Diceros bicornis minor: one gene and its partners. The protein of the gene in region 3 interacts with the protein of the main gene of each other region in a pairwise test. Links are inferred from orthologs where the notes say so. Each region holds a gene or a part of one and is shown on either strand. Other genes may lie near its edges.

The links.
Region 1: the proteins of RBPMS (region 3) and RBM46 interact in a two-hybrid assay, tested with the Homo sapiens proteins (2 studies listed by BioGRID and IntAct). The two-hybrid records come from large-scale screens. The link is inferred for Diceros bicornis minor from reciprocal best matches to the Homo sapiens genes RBPMS and RBM46.
Region 2: the proteins of RBPMS (region 3) and ZBTB32 interact in a two-hybrid assay, tested with the Homo sapiens proteins (3 studies listed by BioGRID). The two-hybrid records come from large-scale screens. The link is inferred for Diceros bicornis minor from reciprocal best matches to the Homo sapiens genes RBPMS and ZBTB32.

The regions. Positions count from the first base shown.
Region 1 is NC_080750.1:42,841,495-42,848,710, forward strand, and holds the start of RBM46 (probable RNA-binding protein 46), read left to right. Parts: upstream 1-4,207; 5' UTR 4,208-4,272; intron 4,273-7,216. UniProt on the Homo sapiens protein: Essential for male and female fertility, playing a crucial role in regulating germ cell development by ensuring the proper progression of meiosis prophase I.
Region 2 is NC_080773.1:8,864,757-8,871,929, reverse strand, and holds the start of ZBTB32 (zinc finger and BTB domain-containing protein 32), read left to right. Parts: upstream 1-4,164; 5' UTR 4,165-4,345; intron 4,346-5,444; 5' UTR 5,445-5,543; coding exon 5,544-6,430; intron 6,431-6,628; coding exon 6,629-6,765; intron 6,766-6,875; coding exon 6,876-6,944; intron 6,945-7,070; coding exon 7,071-7,173. UniProt on the Homo sapiens protein: DNA-binding protein that binds to the to a 5'-TGTACAGTGT-3' core sequence. May function as a transcriptional transactivator and transcriptional repressor. Probably exerts its repressor effect by preventing GATA3 from binding to DNA.
Region 3 is NC_080768.1:28,063,456-28,071,065, forward strand, and holds the start of RBPMS (RNA-binding protein with multiple splicing), read left to right. Parts: upstream 1-4,605; 5' UTR 4,606-5,222; coding exon 5,223-5,288; intron 5,289-7,610.

The DNA of each region.
Region 1 (7,216 bases), on a different chromosome or scaffold from region 3:
TTTCCTCATGTGAGTTAAGTCTATATCCCTCAGAGGAGAAAGATTAATTTCCTGGCATTGCCTAACACTATTTCTAATGTTGTAGTTGATTTAAAGAAAAAAAAAATTGGATGACTGGATCTTGATGTTAACTAATGACTAATATCAATCAGCAACGGTTCACTTGATTACTACTTCCTTTACTTAGCACCTATGTTAACTGAGACCTTATATATGGGTTTGGTGCCTGTGTCGACAATTAAATTATGTACAAAGATCTCTATTTCTGATTTGTTGTCTTAGAAAGATAGGTTGTTAATCAGGGGAGGTACAATGACTGGATGTAAAGATGGTTCAGGGTAACTTAGCACCACAACTGGAAAAAGCACCTATCCTACCTTATAATCTTGGTGCTGACACTCATATCCCAGAGTCACGAAAAGTTCAAATTAATATGTCAGGCAGAAAGCATCAAACCAGGGTCTGTGAATTGGAATAAACATATTTACTATAAGCATGAAACAGGCATCCCTACTCCCATACTTCTGAAAGAGTTTTGAGATATCATTTAGATTGGAGAGTCACCAGATTAAAGGAGGGTCCTTAGGTCCCAAGCTGTGTCCTGTAGACCACTAATTCTATACACATGCAAGTAGTTATCATGTTTTCCGTGGATGGATCTGTGTCATCACTGCCAGACATGGAGGGAGGAAGCTCCAACACATTGAAAACAAACCAGAATACCACACAATCCTCTTTTATATGAAACTATTCACCTTTCGTTTCTTTTATTACGACTAAATTGGATTTTAAACATTTACATGGACTTATTGCTTTTCTTTCCTTTTGGGGATTTATATTTTACAGAAGGTATGTGAAGATAACTTTATTCCAAAAAGCTGGCATTTCATATGGGAAAAAACACATTTACATGGTATCCAAACTATATATCCCTTCCAATTTTTATTGACAACGTTTTCTTCCTACGTCCCAAGGTCAGTATTATTTATCTTCCTGGTGTTTGCAGAGCTCCCCAGAAGGGAGCTAACTCTCCCTTACTAACAAGTATTTTCCACTTTTGGCTTCTTTTTAGCCAAAAACATCTCTATATCACTTAACTTCATTCTTCCTATTCATTTGGACCACCTTTTCCCATAAACTTGCAAATAAATTTATAGCAAACACTAATTTGGGATACATTCCTGAAAAAGAATTCTAGCTGGTAAAGATGTTTTAGATCTTCTGTTCTAAGAGCCTTAAGAAATAAAGTTAAAGGCCATTCCTTTAATTTTACACGCAGAGAACATAGTTTTCATAGCATTTGAAAAATACACCTATTAATAGACTTTGGATAAAAAAGATTTAGAGGGAATCTGACCAAAAGGACATACAATGTAAATACTGGAAGGGTCTTTACATAACACTGCCTTCATCTAAAGCAAGGGTCTATGGCCCGACTCTAATGCCTATTGAGAAGCCTTTGTCTATCTGGTTTTCTTTCTACTTGGGGTAGGAAAAAACCTAGAAATGTAAAACAGCCCTTCGGACTACTTCCACGAACTATCTTTCGCACCTCACAAGATAACATCTCCACCTAGTGATGTGTTAAGAATCCTACAGCAACTCCTAGAAATTGTTTAGTTGTTTGAATTTTTCAGACTAACACGTCTAACACAATTTCAGCTAGTTTAATCTTAAACACGTGTATTTAGAATTAATTACTGACAATTGAGACAGCACCAACACGAAAATAAAGAAATGTGGGGAATCTTTTTCCGGAGAAATAAAAGAGCAGCCACTAATAGTAATCAATATGATACAGGTAGAAAATTGACATGTCAAAAATACCAAGTATGTACCGTCATCCCCTCTTATCTGTGGTTTCACTTTCCAAGGTTTCAGTTACCCAGGGTCAACCTCTGTCTGGAAGCAGATGATCCTCTTTCTGAAGTATGGTCAAAAGGTCAATAGTAGCCTAACGCCAGGTCACAATGCCTACGTTATTCACCTTACTTCGTCTCATGCCATAGCCATTGTATCATCTCACAGCATCACAAGAAGAAGAAGGGTGAGTACAGTACAATAAGATATTTTGAGAGAGAGAGACCACATTCACATGACTTTTATTACAGTCTATTACTATAATCGTTCTATTTTATTATTTGTTATCATTGTTAATCTCTTACTGTGCCTAATTTATAAATTAAGTATATATAGAGTTTGTTACTATCTGTGGTTTCAGGCATCTACTGGGGGGTCTCAGAACATATCCCCCAAGGAAAAGGGGGGTTACCAGATGTACATTCTATCAGTCTAAATTTTCTAGTTGCTTTATTTTGCAGGTATGCAGCCTATATAAATGAGATTGGTATTCATTAACTGACTGAAGGGCAGGGAGTTTAGGAAAGAATCTTTGTTGAGCTTCCACTGTGCATTGGGTATTATGCCACTTGCTTCTGGACACATTTTGAGACAGTATAGCATAGTGGTTATGTCTGCAGGGTGTAGAGCTAAACTGGGCAACTTACTTGCTGTATGACCTTGAGCAAAATACTTAAGCTCTCTGTGCCTCGGTTTCCCAATCTATAACATGGGGCTCCATGGGCTAATACCTTTGACAAAGTTACTGTGAGAATTATGTGAACTAATACATGAAAATACCTTAGAATTGTTTCTGGCACACAAAAGGGCTCAGCATTTGTTAACATTACTATTTATTATTTAATTCCCACAATCCCCATTTTAAACTGGAGCTCAGAGAAATTAAGCAATTTGCTCAAGGTGTCACACCACAAAATGGTGACATGGGGATTTGAGCACAGATCTGTCTGACTCCAAAGTCCTTGCTAATTCCCCACTGTTGGAGTGTGTGTGTGTGTATATATATATGTTATATATATTTATGTATACACACACAGAGTTGATTTATTTATTTTTTTGTGAGGAAGATCAGCCCTGAGCTAACATCCATGCCAATCCTCCTCTTTTTGCTGAGGAAGACTGGCCCTGAGCTAACATCCATGCCCATCTTCCTCCACTTTAAGTGGGATGCGGCCACAGCATGGCCTGACAAACGGTGCGTCGGTCGGCCACCAGGATCCGAACCCAGGCTTCCAGCAGCTGCACACCAACTTACCCGCTATGCCACGGGGGCTGGCGCCCAGAGTTGATTTATTAATAAAGAAAATTTAAGACATTCATTAGTACCTTGAACATATGGAGACAACGAACTGATATCACGAGTTAGTATGGAAGAAAGCAGAGCCCTGAGGTTGGGAAGTAGGGGACCTGCATTAGGTAGATTATTCACGACGTCAAGTTTCCGGTTTGTTAAGGGAGAAACTACACGATCTTTCCAGTTCCAATATTCTACGGGTCTATGAATCTACAAAGCTGGTTCCAAAAGCTAATTTTTTTCTTTCTTTGTCTGCCATTTCAACCCAAGCTCTATTTTTATAGAAAGCAAAACTCAGCGTATGTATGCAAAATGCCACACAGCCGTATCCGTGAAAATTTGTTTTACACAAGCATAGAACCCGGTTCTTCAGCTCCAACACCTACAAATCTCTCCTCAAACTGATTAGTGGTCAAGTCAGGCCTATTATTAGGTCTCTCGATTCAGCCCATTCTCCTAGGCATTTAAACCATTTAACCTTTATTTGTCTAGTCCTATTTGCAAATCCATTTCTTAGCCATATACCTTCCCACCCTCCACCTCCCAAGTCCTTATTAAAGAAAGGTCCATAGTTAGTATACGGGGTCAAACTAGCAGTTAAGAGTTGAAAACTCCGTTAAACGAGGGAAAGATCCTTACAACGCATCTACATTTTCCCCAAGTAAGAGAAGTACGGAAGTTCAAACCACAGCCCTTGCGTTTACACCCCTTAACAAAACACGCAGGATTTCGTTTTGGTATCGCTCCCGGTCCACCCACCCCCTAAAACCGCTCTCTCGCCCCAATTGGCTAAAGTGTCAGTCACTCCAAGTACTTTTACTCCCCTCCCAAGAGCCTCCTTCAGATTTAAACCTTGATCCCGCCCACTCCCCTCTCGCTCCTCCCCGCGGCCGGTCACTGATTGGTCGAGGCGCCACTCCTCGTGGGGCTGCTAGGCCACCGCGCGCGGCGCCCCCTGGGAGCCGAGCCCAGGCGCGAGGACGGCGCGAGCTGTTCCCCGTGCGCTCCCCTCCCCCCTGCGGCGTCCCCGCTCCGACGGACTGGTCCCCGAAACGGTGGCGGCGGTTTGTGGTCGTTGGTCCCAGGGATTTAGGACCAACATTTGAAGACCCGAAGGGGTGAGGAGGGGTTGGGGGCAGCGGGGTCACTGCCAAACCGCTGGTAACGGTTGGAGACCTTGCCTCCTGGCCGCGAAAAGCCTCGTCGACTCACTCTCACGCCAAATCCGCAGCGAGGACCCACGCCCGCTGGAGGCGGTGTCCGCGCGTTCGCGCTCCTCCTTCCCCAGCCCCGTCGAGCTGCGGGCGGGCAGGTGTCACAGGCGCGGCTGCCCAGCCTCACGGGGCATCTTTCGACCGGACAGCTCCTGCCGCCCCCCTCGCGCCGCGTGGTCCCGCCGTCTGTCCCCACCTCCCCGTCTCGTCGGGGCCCCTCGGTGGCTCCTTCCGCCCCGGGGCGCCCTGCCCTCTCTCCGCCTCGTTTCCGCTCTCCCCCGCCGCCTTCCGGACGCTTCCCACCTGCTGCCCTCCATGTTCTCCCCCTAACTCTTTTCCTCCGGCGACCGCCACAGCTGAAGGCCGCCCGCCGTCCCTCCCGGCCGGCCGTTGTCGCGCCGGCGCGTCCGCTCCAGAGGCTTTGGGACGGCGTCCGGGCGTCCCGACTGCCGGGTGAGATTTGGCAATCACGTCGTGGTTTGCATTGAGTTCTAATAGGATGAGCCTCGAAGTTTCCTCTGTCCTCTGCTTTTGACTCTTGTTTCTTCCCAAGTGCTCTCTCGCGTGTCCGGTTTGAACGGCGGAAGGCTGCGAGTGTGCGGGAAAGATAACTGACCCCTCGCACCCGCGACACGGGACGGGCAGCCATGGATGGTAATACACGCGAGGGTCCTATCTTTGTTTCCTAACATCAGCTAGTTTTAATTACTAACTTTTAAAACATTTTCTTTGGGGCGCTGGAAAGACCGCTGAACCTGGGGTCAGGAGACCTCAGATTTAATCCTGGCGTCGATATTAACTGAGATCCTTGTGAAGCCCCTTGATGTATTTGGGCACCGGTTTCCTCATATGTGTATTTAATTTAGCTAATGTTGAAGTTTCTTTAAGCTCTCTTTACAGTCTTGATAAATAACGTTATAGCCTTTATAATATATGGTGATTCTAAAATAGGCCACTATCGTAGAGGGAGTATCAGCAGGAGCTTTCTAAGACGTGGCTTCTCTTACAAATCCGTCCCACTTTGTGTTTGAGGATGGTGTTAGAACCAGGAAGCAGGATGTATTACCTGTATAAGAAGACTAACATATAAATAACATATTCATCTGTCGGTAGAATTTTGCTTCTTTTAAATAAAGGAAGATATTTTCGTTTAAGAATCACTACAGTGTATAGTTGAGTTGGCCAAACTTCCATTTGGAGCCTTTCAGAATTAAAGCTCCTTATGGGCTCTAATGATAGACTCCTTTCCAGGGTACACATTTAAAACATTCTATTTTAAAATTGTTTTGGGGTTGGGCCTGGTGGTGCAAGCGGTTAAGTGTGCGCGCTCTGCTGCGGTGGCCCAGTGGTTGGCTGGTTCAGACCCCAGGCACGCACCGCCACACTGCTTGAGCCATGCTGTGGCAGCGTCCCATATAAAGTGGAGGAAGATGGGCACGATGTTAGCTGAGGGCCAATCTTCCTCAGAAAAATAAATAAATAAAATTATTTTGTGTGCAACTATGTGCTGTTATAGACATAAGAAGGACTATTAGTGCTGCAATTACTAAATATTAGCAATGCCTTACTTTCTGCTTAAGGCATTGCTTTAGTTGCTGATTTTCACTTAAGAGGGTGGAGTATTGGACTTGAACATAATTGCCAAAGTATAATACATGTGAACAGTTGAAATATAATCATGCATATTACTGGATATATTATGGAGTAAGAATTATCAACAACAAGAATAAGCCTAATTTGTGGACTGAAATTAAGCCTCATGTTTTTAATGGTGGCATTTTTGTTGTTAGGAAACTTAGACATGTGGGTTTAAGGAGGGTTTGTGACTAGAAATCAAATAATTGGTGTAAAATCTGTCCAGATTTGCATATAAATGCTGAGTGTTGTTTCCCATTTTATTTTACTACCTGACGGTTGGTGAAGCAAGAAAATGAGGGAAGAAAATGTGATCTTTATGTTCAAATTGTCACAGATTTCACATGACAGGTTATAGAAGACCTTATGTAAGGAATAGTGTACTATTTGGTGGTAGTGTACAAGAATTTTGGTTCTGTTGTAGATATCTTTATCCTAAGTTCTAAGAATGTGTTACACTTTTGTGTTCAAAGCAATATTTAAAAAAACTTACTTACAATTATTTTTTTAAATAGTTCAAGTTTTTAAGTCTCTAAATTTGAACTTTCCCTCCACAGTATTACTACAGGTTGTGAAATACCTAATACTAAAATAAAACTTCTTATGCATTATATATTTTAACTTCTAGGAAAAAAATGAGCTCTCATTCTTTAATAAAAATAATTTAAAATGAAATTGAACTGACCCATCTATACTCTTTTATTTTGAAATAATGTTAGACTTATATATCCATATACTTTTGATTAATCCGTCTCATTTTCCAACCATGTCGCTGTAGTGCTGTCATTAAAATGAGTTACCAGTAAAAAAACCTCCGTTACCCTGGCAACCATGTCTCAGTGCACTATACTGGATAACAGCTGAACTAACAAATCAGGACTTTAATACATGTCATTTAAGGAATGCTATAAAGATCTAATGTGCTTTCTATAAAGTATTCTGATACCTTAAAAATTAATGTGTTTTCACTGTTTAGTTTTTAAAAAGTGTAGTAAAACTAATAAAATGTTCATTTTCAGAACTTCATAAATTTTTCCAGTAATTCAGAAGATAGTTTCAATTTAAGTAGTTTGAACACAGCTGACACAAACTCCTTTAGATAAATGATTAATTTTCATTTATATTTTGCTAAAATTGTGCTTGTCATTTTTTTCATATATTATTTTGAAAGAGCAGTACAAATTTGAAAATTTATATTTTTTTTAGCTTATTA
Region 2 (7,173 bases), on a different chromosome or scaffold from region 3:
TAAGCATGGGGCAGGTGCATGGGAAAGATGGATGTTGTAGTGGAGCTCAGGAAGAGATGAGTGAGATATCTGCTCTTTAGGAAATCACCCAGGTTGACTTTACCGAAGATCTTTTTATATTCACGGGCCAGGGTGTGGATGTCTAATTTCACTCAGCTTTTCAAGCTCTACATGGTATTAAAGCTTTCGGAGTGCTTTTACATACACCCAGAGTTCTTAAACCAGGGGTGGGGGATGCAAGAGGATGGTCTATGAGTGGATTTCAAGGGTCTGTGAGCTCCTGGAAATCATATGAAAAACTGCATGCATGTTGGATTTTTTGGGGAATAGGGGGCAAAATTGGTCACACAGATAAGTGAGAAGGAGTATTTAACCTGTCCAAGGATGGGCTTCAGCGCAGTCTGTGAATGCCTTGTTATTCATATGCAAAATGGTACAAGAGTCGACAATTTTCTGATGTAAAGAGTTGATTCCATGGCTTACATTTTCAAAGGGATAGTGACCCCCTAATAGGTTAAGAATCATTGGAATAAAGCAGGCTCCGTGTTATTTATGGGGCTAGGGAAGACTATAAATAGAGATTCCCGTTTCTTCCCACACCTGGTGTTGGCGCACACTTCAAGGTGGCTCACATACTAGCCTGCAGGTCTAAGCTCAGTCTCCATGCCCCTCACATACAGTACCTCAGGCACACAGTCCACTCTCGTGAGTATAGACCAGGACCCTGGTAGGCCCTGGAAGTGGGCCATTTGGGCCAGGAGGTCCAGGGTTCCGAGTACCCAGAGCATGGTCTAGAACTGGGGGGCACAGGTTCCAGGTGAGCACTTCCTGGATGCCCTTGGACTTCTTAGCCAGAAGACATCAGAGTGGGGCCCTCTGCCTGGGTTTAAGGCAGTGCTGCTATTCAGTACTGTTCTTGAAAACAGCCCCTGTGAGGAAGTTGAGGGTCTTGGAAGAGTTAGCTCCATATTAGGGCTGAAGAAAAAGGCCATCCACTGTGAGGATGCAGTGGAACCTAAGTTTTTTGACTTCTAGTCTAGTTCTTTTTCCACTTAATCCACAAAAGGTGTGCTATTATAGGGTCTCTATAAACCTACATTCAGCTCACTTGGCTATGACTATATCTGGTTCTTGGGTTACACAGAACAGATTTAAGGGAAGAAGGAAACGAATTCACTCTGTGGTGTCTCTTCTCTGCTATGTGTTGGATGTAATTAACTAGAAAGAGTGAACATTTGAAAGTTTATGTAAGTTTGGATAATTGGTCTTTATATAAAATGCTGTAGGGGGCTTAAGCATCTTAATTTGTGAAAGAGATGTGTTCCTGGGAAGAGTGGAATGTTCCTAGAATTGTTCTAAATTGGATCTTGTTTAAACTTGGCTTTGGGGGTACTCAACATTTAAAATAAGTGAGATAGAGGGAACATTCTTCATAAAACAAATAATCATCCCTCTAATTGGCCTATTCTGATGGTTTAATTTTAATGATAATATTTAAAGGGAATCCATGCTTGTATTGCTGTGTTGATATTTTTACATCAAGCTGGGTTGTGCTTTAAGGAGCTTATAAGGCGCTTATGGTCAAGCCTATCAGTAAGAATAAAAAATATCAGATTTCAAGCTTTGCTTAGTAGTATGAGTATCAGAAAGAACTGAGAGGCAAAAATCATACCTCCTTTTCCCACATACTTCTCTTCCAATTATGTGCTACCTATTCTCTCCCACCCACTCTACCCTCTCCCAGGATGCAGGCTGTGTCCTCATAATCTGCGGTTTCCTGGCCCCACCCCAGGGAGACAGCTGCAGGTGATTCCCACTAAGTCAGCCTGGGAAGTAGAAGGTGGACAAGGTTTCTGAGACTGGGGAGGGGAGACCTTTCAAGAACAGAGACAGTCATGAGCCAGCCCTGATGGCCTAGCAGTTAAAGTTCCGCGTGCTCTGCTTAGGTGGCCCGAGTTCGGTTCCCGGGTGCTGAACCACACCACTCATCTGTCAGTAACCATGCTGTGGTGGCGGCTCACATAGAAGAACCAGAAGAACTTACAAGTATACACAACTATGTACTGGGGCTTTAGGGGGGAGAAAAAAGGAGGAAGATTGGCAACAGATGTTAGCAAAGGGTGAATATCACCCCCCCCCAAAAAAAGAATAGAAACAGTCAGCAGTGTCCCTATCTTTCCAAGTCAAAGTGCTATTTGCTTCTGCTTCTGCTGTGACTGCTCAGTGCAAGATGGCTTGGGCTATGCAGTCAAAAATGTAGGGAGAGAGAAGGGCCTAGAGTGTCATCAGCCCAAGGGCTGAGGTGTAGAGGCCCTAGAGATACCTCTATGGAGGCAGTCTCTAAAGGGATATCCTTAGACGGGGTAAACACCAAGTGGGAGGCAAGATGGGGTTTCCCATTCTTGGGGGCTTTTGTTCACTGAATGGGGAGTCCCCTTGCCCCTTCTCCTCCCTTTTAGGTTTCCTGAAAGCCCACTGACACTCTCTGTCAACTACATTTGGTTTACAGAGGATGCTGCCCTTTGAGCAGTCTCCAGTTCTCTTGATCAATGAGCAAACCACACCAGTGGGGGAGCTGAGTCACAGGCACATGATATAGGGCTGGGAGGTGAGGGGGACTACACTCCACTGGGTGATGATGTAATCTTCCAGACCCCTGTACCTTTTCTTCTATACTTGAGGTATCTCCCTCTTGGCTTTCCCCACTTCTTCCATATCTTCAAGGATTGTGTATTTCTGTGTTGGAGGAAGGATGTTTCCCTCTGTATACATACATATCAGGGATTGGTGCTTTTATGTGTCCAGGCCAAGTATCTTTTATATGGGTGTCTAATGAGTCCCTGGGTGTGGTGGTGTGAGGAATTAGAAAGCTCAGAAATGGAAAATATTTAACGTTCAGAGAAGCAAATGATTAAAGCTTGCCCATTTGCATTTTCCCTTTCACTCTGACTCATCTTCCCCTCTCCCCACCCTATTATTGCCCCTCCACCAGCCCCACCCATTGGCACACCCTGTCTGATCTAGGAAGGGTTAACTTCTGCCTGCACCCAAGCTAGAATGAGAGGTAGAGGGAAGGCATGTTAGGTCTGGAGGGAGAGAGTAGAAGGCTGGTCTGAACATTTTGGGGTCCTGGAGCCAAAGGGAGAAGCAGGAGTTTAGAGACATAATATTTGAGTCTAGGAGGGGACCAGAATCTAAGGGAGAAGCCTAGGGGGAGCCAGACCATGTCTCGTCATCAGAGCAGCCTACCCGTGCCTGACTTGTATATCTTCCAGTTATTTATTTGGCATATATGACATGCCAGGCACTTATCATGAGTGATTTATCAACACTTGTTGAATGAATGAAAAATTTGCCACAGGATGAGGGATAATGGAATAACAAGAAACAGAAAAAGAAATTTGAGTCTCTCAGACCTCATCCTTTCCCCAGGTTAAAGAGTGGTAAAGTGTGAAAAGAGGGGAAATCTCCAAGGACCTTGACCCCTTGGGCAGGAAGTGAAAGAAACCCTGGAGTCCTGATTTCAGAGAAATGTCATTTGTCATCAACTCAAGAAAAGGAGTTTTTCTCTTCGAAGACCACCGCAAGCCCTTCCTGGGGTTGCCCCCTTCAGCGCTTGATGGGAGGATCTGAGTCACTCACACATGCAGTCCCCAATGGTGGCCCAGATGACAGGGGTCATTCCCACATAGCTGTCAAGGCTTGGTAGTACTAAGTCAGGCATGCTTTCGGCCCTCCTTCACTCTCTTCTTGGAATCTAGATGCTTCAGTCCTTTTTACTTCTCAGGTAGTAGAAACAGCTTCCAGCTGCTAGAGCTCTAATGACACCTCTAAGAAACAGAACTAATACTATTTGAATGACGCTGTGTACTGATAAACCACTTTCACATTCATCATGTCATTTCATCCTCACTTCCACCTCCAAGTGAGGTAAGCAGAGGTTATCCCTATTTCATGGACGAGGTAACGGAGGCTCAGAGAGGTGACTTGCCCAAGGTGATTCAGCTAGAAAATGGTCGAGATGAAACTCAAGTGAGGTCTGATTAGTCCAAAGTTCTTGTTGCCTCAGTTACACTTCTTTGACTGGAGAAGTTCACAAATGAAATAAAGACAGGTCAGGAGGCAATGCCTGGATTCTGGAAGTAGAGGGGGTGGTCTCTCCTGGAGGGGTGAAGCAGAGCCGGGAGTATAAAACCACACCCCCTTGGGGGACTGTGGCAGACTGATACTTGGGACACCCAATGGAAGACTGTGAGGTCAGAGGCGGGGCTAGCTCCAGCGGGGGGGCCCCAGGAGCCCCAACAGCAGTTCAGAGCATGCGGTGTCCAGGAGGAAGCTACAACCGGTGAGTGGTTGCTTCTCCCCAGCTGAGACTTTCCTCCCTTACCCCCCTTTCTGTCCACTTCCTGCCAACCTGTAGCCCTCTTCCTGAGGTGTCCAAGTAGTAATCCTCCCTCCCAGAAGCGTCCTTACTCACAGTGCACCCACACCTAGGAATATGCCTGCTGGGCACAGAGACACTTGGGTCTGTCTCTTGGTAACTGGGTTCCCAGTTCTCTTCTTAAAAGCCAATGTGGTGGTTTTGATGTGTGATAAACTTCTGCCTCGTTAGCTGCTGTCTTTCTATTCTTCACTTTTGGCTCATGAAAAACAAAATTAAACCATCTCCTTATCCTAATATTGAGAGGAAATAGCCTCCTGCTCTACAGTTCCCATGTCCCTTTCTCCTGCTTCCTTGGCAGTCAAAGTCTTCTCCAAAACTTCTCTCCATCCTTAGGTCGGGAGCCTTCTCTCCTGTGGCTTCTGCACCTGCTCTCTTAACTCACTGGATGGGAGTCTTTGGTCTCTTCCAGCTCCTTCTCTGAGAATGTGTTCTAGAAGCTTCAGCCTCAGGGAGATGATCGATTGATGCCTTAGAGCCTGCCCTCCTGCAACTACGACCCTGTCTTGCTGCCCTTTCTGCCTCTCAGGACCCTCAGCTCCACGTGATGGGCTTGTGGGAAGAGGACACTACTAGCTTTCTAAACTCTCCCATGAAGCTGCGTCTTGCTCCAACCCTAGTTGCCTGGGCTGGGTTTTATGGTGATCTCTGTGTCTGGAATGAAGAAAGCCTGGCCTGCTCAGAGTTTTCCCTGCAGAGGGGCTTGGAGAAGAAGTATCAGCATCTGCTATCCTTTAAGTCAGAGACTGCCAATTGGCAGGACCCATTTATACTAGTCTTAAACCCACTACTTGATATAGTTGTTAACTGCCTTGTCCTTGCTCTTTAAGTCCTGAATTTGGTCTAATTTCCATTCTCCCACCACTCCCACCCCCAACCCTGGCCCCTGTTATGATTCTGGATAAGCTCAGGTCCTCTCTTGGGTTAGTTTATTTGCTCCATTCAGGACAGAGAGCTCTGATCCAGAACCAGCAACTCACTCACTCTCCCCTTCCCTCCACAGGCTTGAGAATATGCTGTTCCTCCCTCTCCTTTCTGCCACAGACCCCACACTGTGGCCTTTCTCTCAGAACCTCTGAGATTGGTACCCAGGCAAGGCACAATGCCCCTGTCCCCAACAAGACTGCCTAGCCCCTATGGCTCTGATCGCCTGGTACGGCTAGCAGCCAGGCTCCGGCCAGCACTATGTGATACCCTGATCACCGTGGGGAGCCAGGAGTTCCCTGCCCACAGCCTGGTGCTGGCAGGTGCAAGCCAGCAGCTGGGCCGCAGGGGCCGCTGGGCTCTGGTGAAAGGCATCAGCCCTTCCACCTTTGCCCAGCTTCTATACTTTGTTTATGGAGAGAGCGTAGAGCTTCAGCCTGGGGAACTGGAACCCCTTGAGGAGGCGGCCAGGGCCTTGGGGGTACAGTCCCTGGAAGAGGCGTGCAGAAGGGTTCGAAGGGACAGGGCTAGAGAAGAGCTGGGTCCGGGACTGAAGGAACATCAGGAGGAGCCAGAGAAACCCACAAAGGGTTCTGAGAGAGGAGTAGGGGCCCTTGGAGAGAAGCAGAGACCAGAGAAATTTGTTAGAGCTGGTGGGCGAGAACAGGAAACACTGCAGAAGCACAGGCCACCAAGAGAGAGCCCTGAGATGGCAGAGGCAACGAGGGAGGGCCAGGGAGTGCAGATGAGATTCAAGGAGAAACTCAACCAATTCCCTGTTGGCCATGGGGGAGTAGATGGGAAGCAAGAAGTGATCATGTGGGTGAGGGAGACTCCAGGGGGCTCTGAGGAAAGTCTGCAGGAGTTCCCTGGCCCCCTTCCCCCACCTGCTTCCCTCCAAACCAGCGTCACCCCTAGGCCCTGGTGGGCTGAGGCCCCTTGGTTAGGGGAGGGGCAGCCTGCCCTATGGAGCATCCTGCTGTTGCCGCCCAGATATGGCACCCCCTTCCCCCATAGCACCCCCATCACTGGAACCTGGCAGGAGGTCTGGCCTCAGGACGAGAGGTGAGTGAAGGGCCTCACGGAAGACCTCCCAAGCTGGGAAGGAGTGGCTCAGGAGAGGCAGCGGTGACGGGTGGAAGGGCACCATATCTCTTATCTCTACTGTACATTTCCTGAGCTGGGGACAGGACAAGAAGCTCCCACCAAAGGGGAAGACAGAGCCCAGTCCCTGAGGAGGACTCATGACACCTCCCTCCCCAGGAAGAGATTGGCCACAATCCCAGATTTTGCCAAGGCTGTAACTCTTCCCCACCCCACCCCCAGGATGCCACTGTCCCTAAACCTCCACAAAGGGCTCTGGAGCCAGAACCAAGTGGCCTCCTCCAGCCCAACCCCAGGTAAGCCCCTCACTGCCCTGCATGAACCCTATAATGTGGTCTCTCCCCTGGGGCTGGGGGTCCAGGAATCCAGCCTGAGCAGGGCCCCTACTTCACTCTGCTCCCTCCAGGTTCCCTCCACCAGGGCCCCGCACAGCTCAGCCCTGTGGAGATGGAAGAGTCTGATCAGAGGCACACAGGTGAGGAGGGTGAGGGAGCTTTTGCCTCAGCCCCAGTGTAGCCCCTGATGGCTTGCCTGGGTGTTGCAGTGAATCCAGCTCTGGGATTCCCAGCCCTGCCCTCTTTTGCTTTCTCCGTCCCCACAGGTGCACTTGCAACTTGTGTGGGTCATATGGGCACTGCAGGCCGCCCATCTTGCCAGCACCCCCCCCTGCCCCCTCCTGCTCGGTCCAGGCCCTATTCTTGTTC
Region 3 (7,610 bases):
AAGCAAGTCACTAGGTCTATCCTACATTCAAGGGGAGGGGATTATACAAAGGCTTGAATACCAGGAGGTAGGAATCATGAAGGCCATCGTAGAGGCTGCCTACCACAGGGTTTTCTAGCTACACCCTTGCCTTGAACTTTACCTAAGGCCATATTTAGGCATCCAGGCCTAAGGCATCCTGGATTTGACCCTTGCCCCTAAGCCATTTCTTAATTTGAGAGTTTTTCCTCTGGAGAAGCTAGAAATGAGCAATAGTTTTATTTCAAATCCAGCAAGTCCTGGCTTCTTTATGTTTCCTCTAAATTCTGATTGAAAACAGAACAGTTCATTTTTTTTTTTTTTTAGCTCATCTCACTTGTCTCGTACTATACCATAAGCATCTAAAAGAAACCACTCAACTCTTTCAACATTGTATCCAAAAATCTCCTTAGCCAGATGCGCATGTTCATTAGGCATCTTTTCTATCTTTCATGGAACAGCAGGCTAGTTTAGCTCATTGTTCTTCCAATACATAAATGGGGTCCCGTTTTCTCCAGCCTGCAATAACAACACTCGCACTGTCCTTTCATAATGCTCTTCATTCACAGACTCCTCAAAGTTCCTCCAGTTTCCATCCTCTACCTGATCCCAAAGCCACTGCCATATGTTTTAGGTTTCTGTGACAGCAGGACCACACTTCTTGGCACGTAATTATGTTTCAGTTATCTATGGCTGTATAACACACCACCCTAAAACTGAGTGCCTTAAAACAACAGCATTCACTTTTATGCTAACAATTTTGCCATTTGGGCGCCACTCAGTGAAGACAGCTCATCTCTCTTCCATGTGGTGTCAGCTAGGGCAGCTCAACTAGAGCTCGGGTATCCACTTCCAAGAAAACTCATTCACAAGGCTGGCAATTGGTACCGGCTGTCCACTGAGAGCTCAGCTGGGGCCGTAAGCCGGGGACTTAATTCTCTTCCACATGGGCCTCTCCATGTGGCTGTGTGGGCTTCCACAAATGATTGGAGGGAAGTGATTGAATCTCAGAACTATTTAGGAGGTAAAAATCAGGAGGACGTTGCATAACAATGTGAATATACTTCACACTACTGCACTGCACACTTAAAAGTGGTTAAGACGGTAAATACTATGTTGTGTGTTTTTTAGCCACAGTTAAAAATTAATAAATAAAATCAGGAGAAGATGGTGATGGCCTGGAGGTGGGTGGGAGTGGGGTGAGGGAGTGAGAAGTGCTAAGGATAACAAAGACTAATAAAACACAGCCTCTGGCCTCAAGAACTTTTTCGGTCCAGCAGAGGATGTAGAAGAGTTAACAATCACAACACGTGGTAGATACTGCAGCTTTCTGCCTCAGTGCTAACATAGGTACAGAGCACAAGCCATGCAAATTGCCTCAGAATAGACCTTTAATGCCTGCACTTCCCAGAGACAAACATTTAAGACATAATTGTAGGTTTGTATTTCTCAAAGCAAGCCTCAAAATGAACACTGCCAGAGGAACAGAGATGAATAAGGAAAACTACACGTGCAGACAATATTTCCCTTTCAACCTAGCATGTAACCTGATAAGCCAGAAGCAATGTGGCAAAATGGTGGGCAGGGGAGGAAGCAGATTTCTTGGTCATTAGCCCTATTTTTCTAGGACATAAAATCCCTTTGTTGTTTTATAACTCTTAGTAGGCCTGAAAACGATTGCTACTGAGATCTCACTTTTGAAACTTTCTTTCTCTGAAGTAGTAAACAGGTCATAAAGATCATTACAACCTGAATGAATGTACACTCCCCCCACCCCCAACACAGTCAAACTCTTTCCCCTCACTCACAAAGTTTTATAAATAGCTAAAGTCTATGTACAGATTTTCATTGAGTTTTGTTGGCAACATGACTTTATTGTTCTTCCAAATAAGTCTAAACCATTCTTCATGGAAAGGACAAAATAGGAGTCCTTCTTTTCCTGGTGTATTACCCCAGCCCCATACACTTTTCTGAAAACACCCTGAATTTCAAGCTTGCCACTGACTATATGTTCTAGGTTTCCCTGCTTTATCATCAGCTACCTGATGTAGCCCCATTCTGTGCAAGCTCTCTATCTAGGGTCTCCCCCCTGCAAAATAATGACTAAAGACCACTACCATGAATCTGCCTAGTGCCCCTGTGGTGGCTCTCCACACTAAGATGCCTCTACTAATTCAGTCCCTCCTGCAGGGTCTTGGAAGGATCTGATAATGTCATTCAAGCCCAAGAATAAATAACTGATAAGACTCAGTGGATTCATTCACTCACAATTATCGAGTGCCAACTGTGCATTAGGCACTGTCTAGATGTTGGGAACACAATGAACAAACTAGACAAGGATCCTCTCATGGAATTTATTCTCATTTTTTATCCCAGGGGTTTTTGACTTTTAACAAGGACACAGTGCCAGCTTGGCTTAAAGACAAAGGAATCAGGTCCTACCTTTGGGATTAAGCCACATTTCCCTGGGTGGGGGTAGGGGAGGTTCTCTCGCTACCCTGGAATCACACAACATCTCCCACCTACTCATGAGTGGAGTCTGACTGGAACCATCAATGACTAGATCAATTGTCACTTTTCTTGGGCCTTGGCCAGGCTCCAGCAAGACAATGCCTTTCTGTGGAGTGTCTTCAGGAACAGGCAAGAATGGCCAAGGAGGGCAAAGTGCTGGCATTACTGGTCAGTGTAGGGGCCCAAGACCACCACTCAGCCACTGCTCAAGAAGACATTGCCCCCTCGTGGTTCCTCATATAACTGAGGGAGGACCTGGCAGTGGAAAGGGTTGTCCAAGTTTCCGGATTAATTGTAGCCCTCACCTCTTCTGAACTTCAATCGCAATTTCAATAGACTCTTGGTTTATTTTCATCCAGGATACATCTTTTTTTTTTTTTCCCATAGAAAGAAATGACATCATGACAGCAATTAAAGCTCTTTATCAAAATCTTCAGACCCCCCCCCTGAAAAACTCAACATGTAAATCTACATATCACTAACTGATTTTCTCTTCACAATGCTCTTAAAGCAAATATTTTCTTTGCTTTCCACAATTTGAGCCAGGATCTGCGATTATGTTGCCCTGGAGCTGTTTTGGGTATCCTGTCTCCACACCACTTTAAACTCCCTAAAAGCAGGGGCCTTATCTTCAATGCCCACCTCCACCCCCACCCCATTTCCAGCAGCACTTAAACCAGTATAGGGTAAAGAATGTCTAGTGGGGGGAGGGGGGGAAGAGACAAATAGTGAAGCAAGCAAATAAATAAATAGAAATTGTGACTGGTGCTGTGCGGGAAAGGAACAGCATGCTGTGACAGAATTCCTACGAGTGGGAAGTGAGGAAGAACCTACTGATGTACAGAGTTTCAAATTTATGTTTGTACCAGTCATATTGGAAAGCTTAAATGATACAGTCCTGGAAAAGCTCTCTACGGCTCAGGAAAATTTCCTTAATAAAAATGTTAGCCTCCAAGTATTGTAACCTTAAACTGGGCAAGAATGGGTGCTAGGTGCTATAGCGCTATCAACCTATAATCTCCTCTAATAGCAAACCCCTGGAGATAAATAGAACTACTCCCATTCCACAGGTGAGGAAACGGAAACCATGCACTCCTTCCGAGGTTGGTGCATAAACGAGTGTTGTGCGCTGACCTCCCAGAGGTCAGCTGAGACCCCCTTCTCCTCTAAGATGCTTTGACCCTCTGAAGATCACCTGTATTGGCCTCCAGTTCGGCTTGCAGTGACGAATATTCCCTTACCCAACAGATATTTATTGAGTGCCTACTATATACCAGGTAGCGTATTTAAAAAGCCGTGGGATTAAAAAGATAAACAGGGCACGGTCTTGTCTTCCAGGAAGGATCTCCCAGAAAAGTGAGGAAGACAGCCAGGTCAACAAATAACTCCAGAACAGTTTGATACGGGCTGTGAGAGGAGTCTGAACGGGCGCCACGGGAAGCCTAGCGGAGAGCCACAGCCGGCCGGTGGGGAGGCTGGAGAGGTTTCGGAGGACCCGGCGTTCGAGGTGGGTTTGATGCTGTGCCCTGAAAACGCCGGCCCGGAGCTGGCTGCCCCCGGACGTCACCGAGTTCTCGCCATCCTGTCATTTCAAGTTGCCCACTAGGAAGGGAAGAAATGGGTCTAAAGCGGTACAGAAAAGGAGAGGTAGGCTTAGGGATGGGGGTGCAAATCCCTCGTGAAAAGCAGGCAAACAAAAGTAGCACATCACACGTCCCGGTGGTCGCGCTGGCGGGGCCCGGCTCTCCGAAGCCCCTCTCCCGGCTCGCGCGCACCGCCACGCGAGTTGTCCAACTCGGCCCCCAGGGGCCCAGCGAGCCGGAGGACCTGACCTCCTTCCCTCCCCCTGCCCGGCCCCCGCCCTCCGACCTACCGCCGAGTCCGGGGCCAGGGTCGGCGGCTTCCGCCCGCGGCCCGCCGCCCCTCCCCGGCGCGCGCCATCCGGCCGCGGGGCAGCCGCCCTCGGCGCGGCCCCTCCTCCCGCGGGGGGCTTCGCCGTCCCGCGTCCCGTCCCTCGGCGAGAGCCTGCAGCCCACGTCCAGGGAGGGCGGAGGGAGGAGGAGGAGGAGAGGGAGGAGAGAGGGGAGGGAGGAAGGCGAGAGAAAGGGAGCTGCTTGGATCCCGTACTTCCCAGAGCCTGCCAGGAGCGCGCACTCAGCGGCTCTCCGGGTCCCAGCGTCCCAGCCGCGGCCCGCGCCCCGCTGCCCCGCACCTCCTCCTCCTCCTCCGCCTCCTCCTCCTCTCCCGGCACCCCTCGCCCCCTCCCTCCAGCTACGCTCGGGCAGCAGCCGCCCCCGGCCCCTACTCGGCCACATCCCCAACTCTCCGGGCTCAGTCCCGGGACGCGCGTCCTCGCCCCATCCTTTCCTGCTTCCTTCCTTCCCTCGCGCCCGCCCTCCCTCTCCAGGTCTCCCTCCCGGGTCCCGATTGTCTCCGTCCCCTTCTCGGTCCGCCCGCGCCCGCCTCGCCCTGCCCCGTCTCTCTCCCTCGCACTTCCTGAGTCGCCCGCCGCCGCCGCCGCCGTCTCGCCGCGCCGCGGGAGCCCGAGCCCGAGCCGCCGCTGCCCCGGCTGCAGCCCCCGTAGCCCGCGGCGCCCGCCGAGGGAGCCCCGGCGCCCGGGGAGGGAAAAGTGGGCGAGCGCGCCTCGCCCAGCCCCGCGCCCCAGCCCTGCCCGGCGAGGAAGGACCGGGAAGATGAACAACGGCGGCAAAGCCGAGAAGGAGAACACCCCGAACGAGGCCAACCTTCAGGAGGAAGAGGTACTGAGTGGCTCGGTGCGGTGGCGGGGACGACCGGGGACGGAAGCCGCGGGCTTTCTCCAGAGTGCGGGGGCCGGCGGGAGAGCCGGTCCCGGGGCGCCCGGCTGCGCGCCGGGGAGGGGGCGCCGCAGCCGAGGGTCTGGGCAGGTCCTTGCCCCGAGACAGAGCCCTAAACTGTGGCCCCGGAGGGTGTATCTCCGGGGAGGGTGTTTTTGTGGGTCCACGCGCGTCTGCGTGCCTAAAATTGCGTAACTTGGAAGACTTTTCGGAGAGTTTTGTAAGTAGAACGCTCAGCTTTGTTTGCCTGGAATTTTAAAAGCGGAATCGAGAGCTGACTCCTGGGTGACCTCAGATTATTGGGACCCGGAGGGTCAGGACTTAGTTCTGCGTCTAGGGCTGGAAGTCGTGGGGTGCGTTGGTGTTTGTGTAGTTTAAGGAAGAAACTAGGGGAAAGTTCTCGTTAAGAGACACCTTTTCTTCCCTGCCCCCTCCCTTTCGGTGTTAAAAGTTCTTGGTGAAATGTCTTTCCAGTTGAGGCATTTTGGATTAATAGATAACTAATCAGCCGCATTCTTCTCTGATGAGTCAAAGACCCCGAACCTGGGTAATTTAGGTTTTGTAAATTTAGGGGCGATGCGGTTGTGGGGAGCAGAATAAAAGTTTAAAACTTACAGTTACCCCTTACAAATGATCATCGAGACTATTTAATAGGACTTTGACTTCTGAGCGTAAATTTAATGTGGTGCGTCCGTAATTGCGGTAAAAATGTTGCGGCTGTGGATTGTTCCTTTGGTAGAAAAACAAAATTCAGTAAATGTAGGGGAGAACTCCTGAACAAACGTTTCAGGATTTTGTAGTTAGGATATTTTGTGGTATCCTATTAAATGGCTCTGTTCCTGCAGGTACGTTATATGGAGTCCAAGAAACAATACTTTTCGCCCACTTTTTAAGATTCCACACTAGCTGAGTTCTTAAACATTCTAAAAGAAACTTGAGAGTGTGTGGATGCAAGAAAGTATGCATCCAGATGTGACCTATAAAGCATTCTTACAGGTACTGCATCCTCGTGTATAAGGTTAACAGAATGATAAACTGATTCTGAAGCTGTTAGGATGTTGAGATTATTATTGAGATATTGTGTGCAAACTAATATTCAGATAGCGAAAGCAAACCTTGCAGAGGATTTAATTAATGCATATAAGCTCTCAGCATGTTGTCCACTTGTAAAATGGGAACTATGTAAATGGGGAAGATAGAGGAGAGAGCAAAGACTATGCAAAACAATGCAAAATAAATAACAAGATTTTCCTCTTAACACAGTTTTGTGGTAGTGCAACCTAGGTGAATTGCAGTAAACAGAAAATTGCCTTTTCACCTGAAGAAATTGCCCATTTTATTATAAACTATTATTTTGAAAAGTGTTGTTTACATGCGAATGGTTTTTTAACTACAAGTGAAGGAATACCACTGACATTTTTTTGTTTTTCAAAGAGATGGACACTTGAATTGCAAGTTCCACTTTTTTCTTGAACCTTACTGGTTGCTTTGCTATTTATTTTCCCTACCACTGAAATAAAACTTAAAAAATGATGACAAGTTTGCTTTTTTAAGGAGTTGCTATATTTAACAAATTTATTTAACACACCAAGATAATAATTGCTTCAGAAACCTTTCTATTTCACTTAGAATGGCAATTTTTCTTTCTAAGGGTAAGAATATATTGCATGAAATCATCTTTTTTCTCAGTTCTCCCAACTGAGAAAGCTTGTAAATGGAAAAGTTAATTAGGCAAACCAAAGACTTTTTTTTTTCTTTTGATAGGTAGTAAAAGAGGTTTGAGTGTCCCAAAACCATAACTTAGTTAACTTGATAAAAGTAAGTGGAGAAAAGTCATCTTTTTCTGCTTGACTCAGCTCAGCCTGACTGCTGCCAGGTCGGAGGTGTTGTCTGCTCTGTTCCTGGGACCTTAACTTAATGTGGGAGGTTGTGTACGAGTAGAATCACTGGCCATCTCAGGACAGTTCACTGCCTCTTCCCTGCCCTGTTGCCCTGACAGTGTTCCTTTTCAGGTGGGAATGGCGTGTGGCTCTAGGAAGTATCAGTAGTTTTAGCAAGACACTTGTTATTTTAAAAATAAGAGGACAGATTTCAGAATGTAAGTTGTAGAAGAGGTGGAGTGTACAAAACAGATAAACCGTGAAGAGAGAGGATTTATAGTGTTAAAAATTCAGGAAAAGAAAGTACGTTGGCCTGACCGATCCAGGTAATTTTGTCCTAATTCCCTGTTTGGGATTTATGTTTTGTTTTTGAAAAACTCCTAAC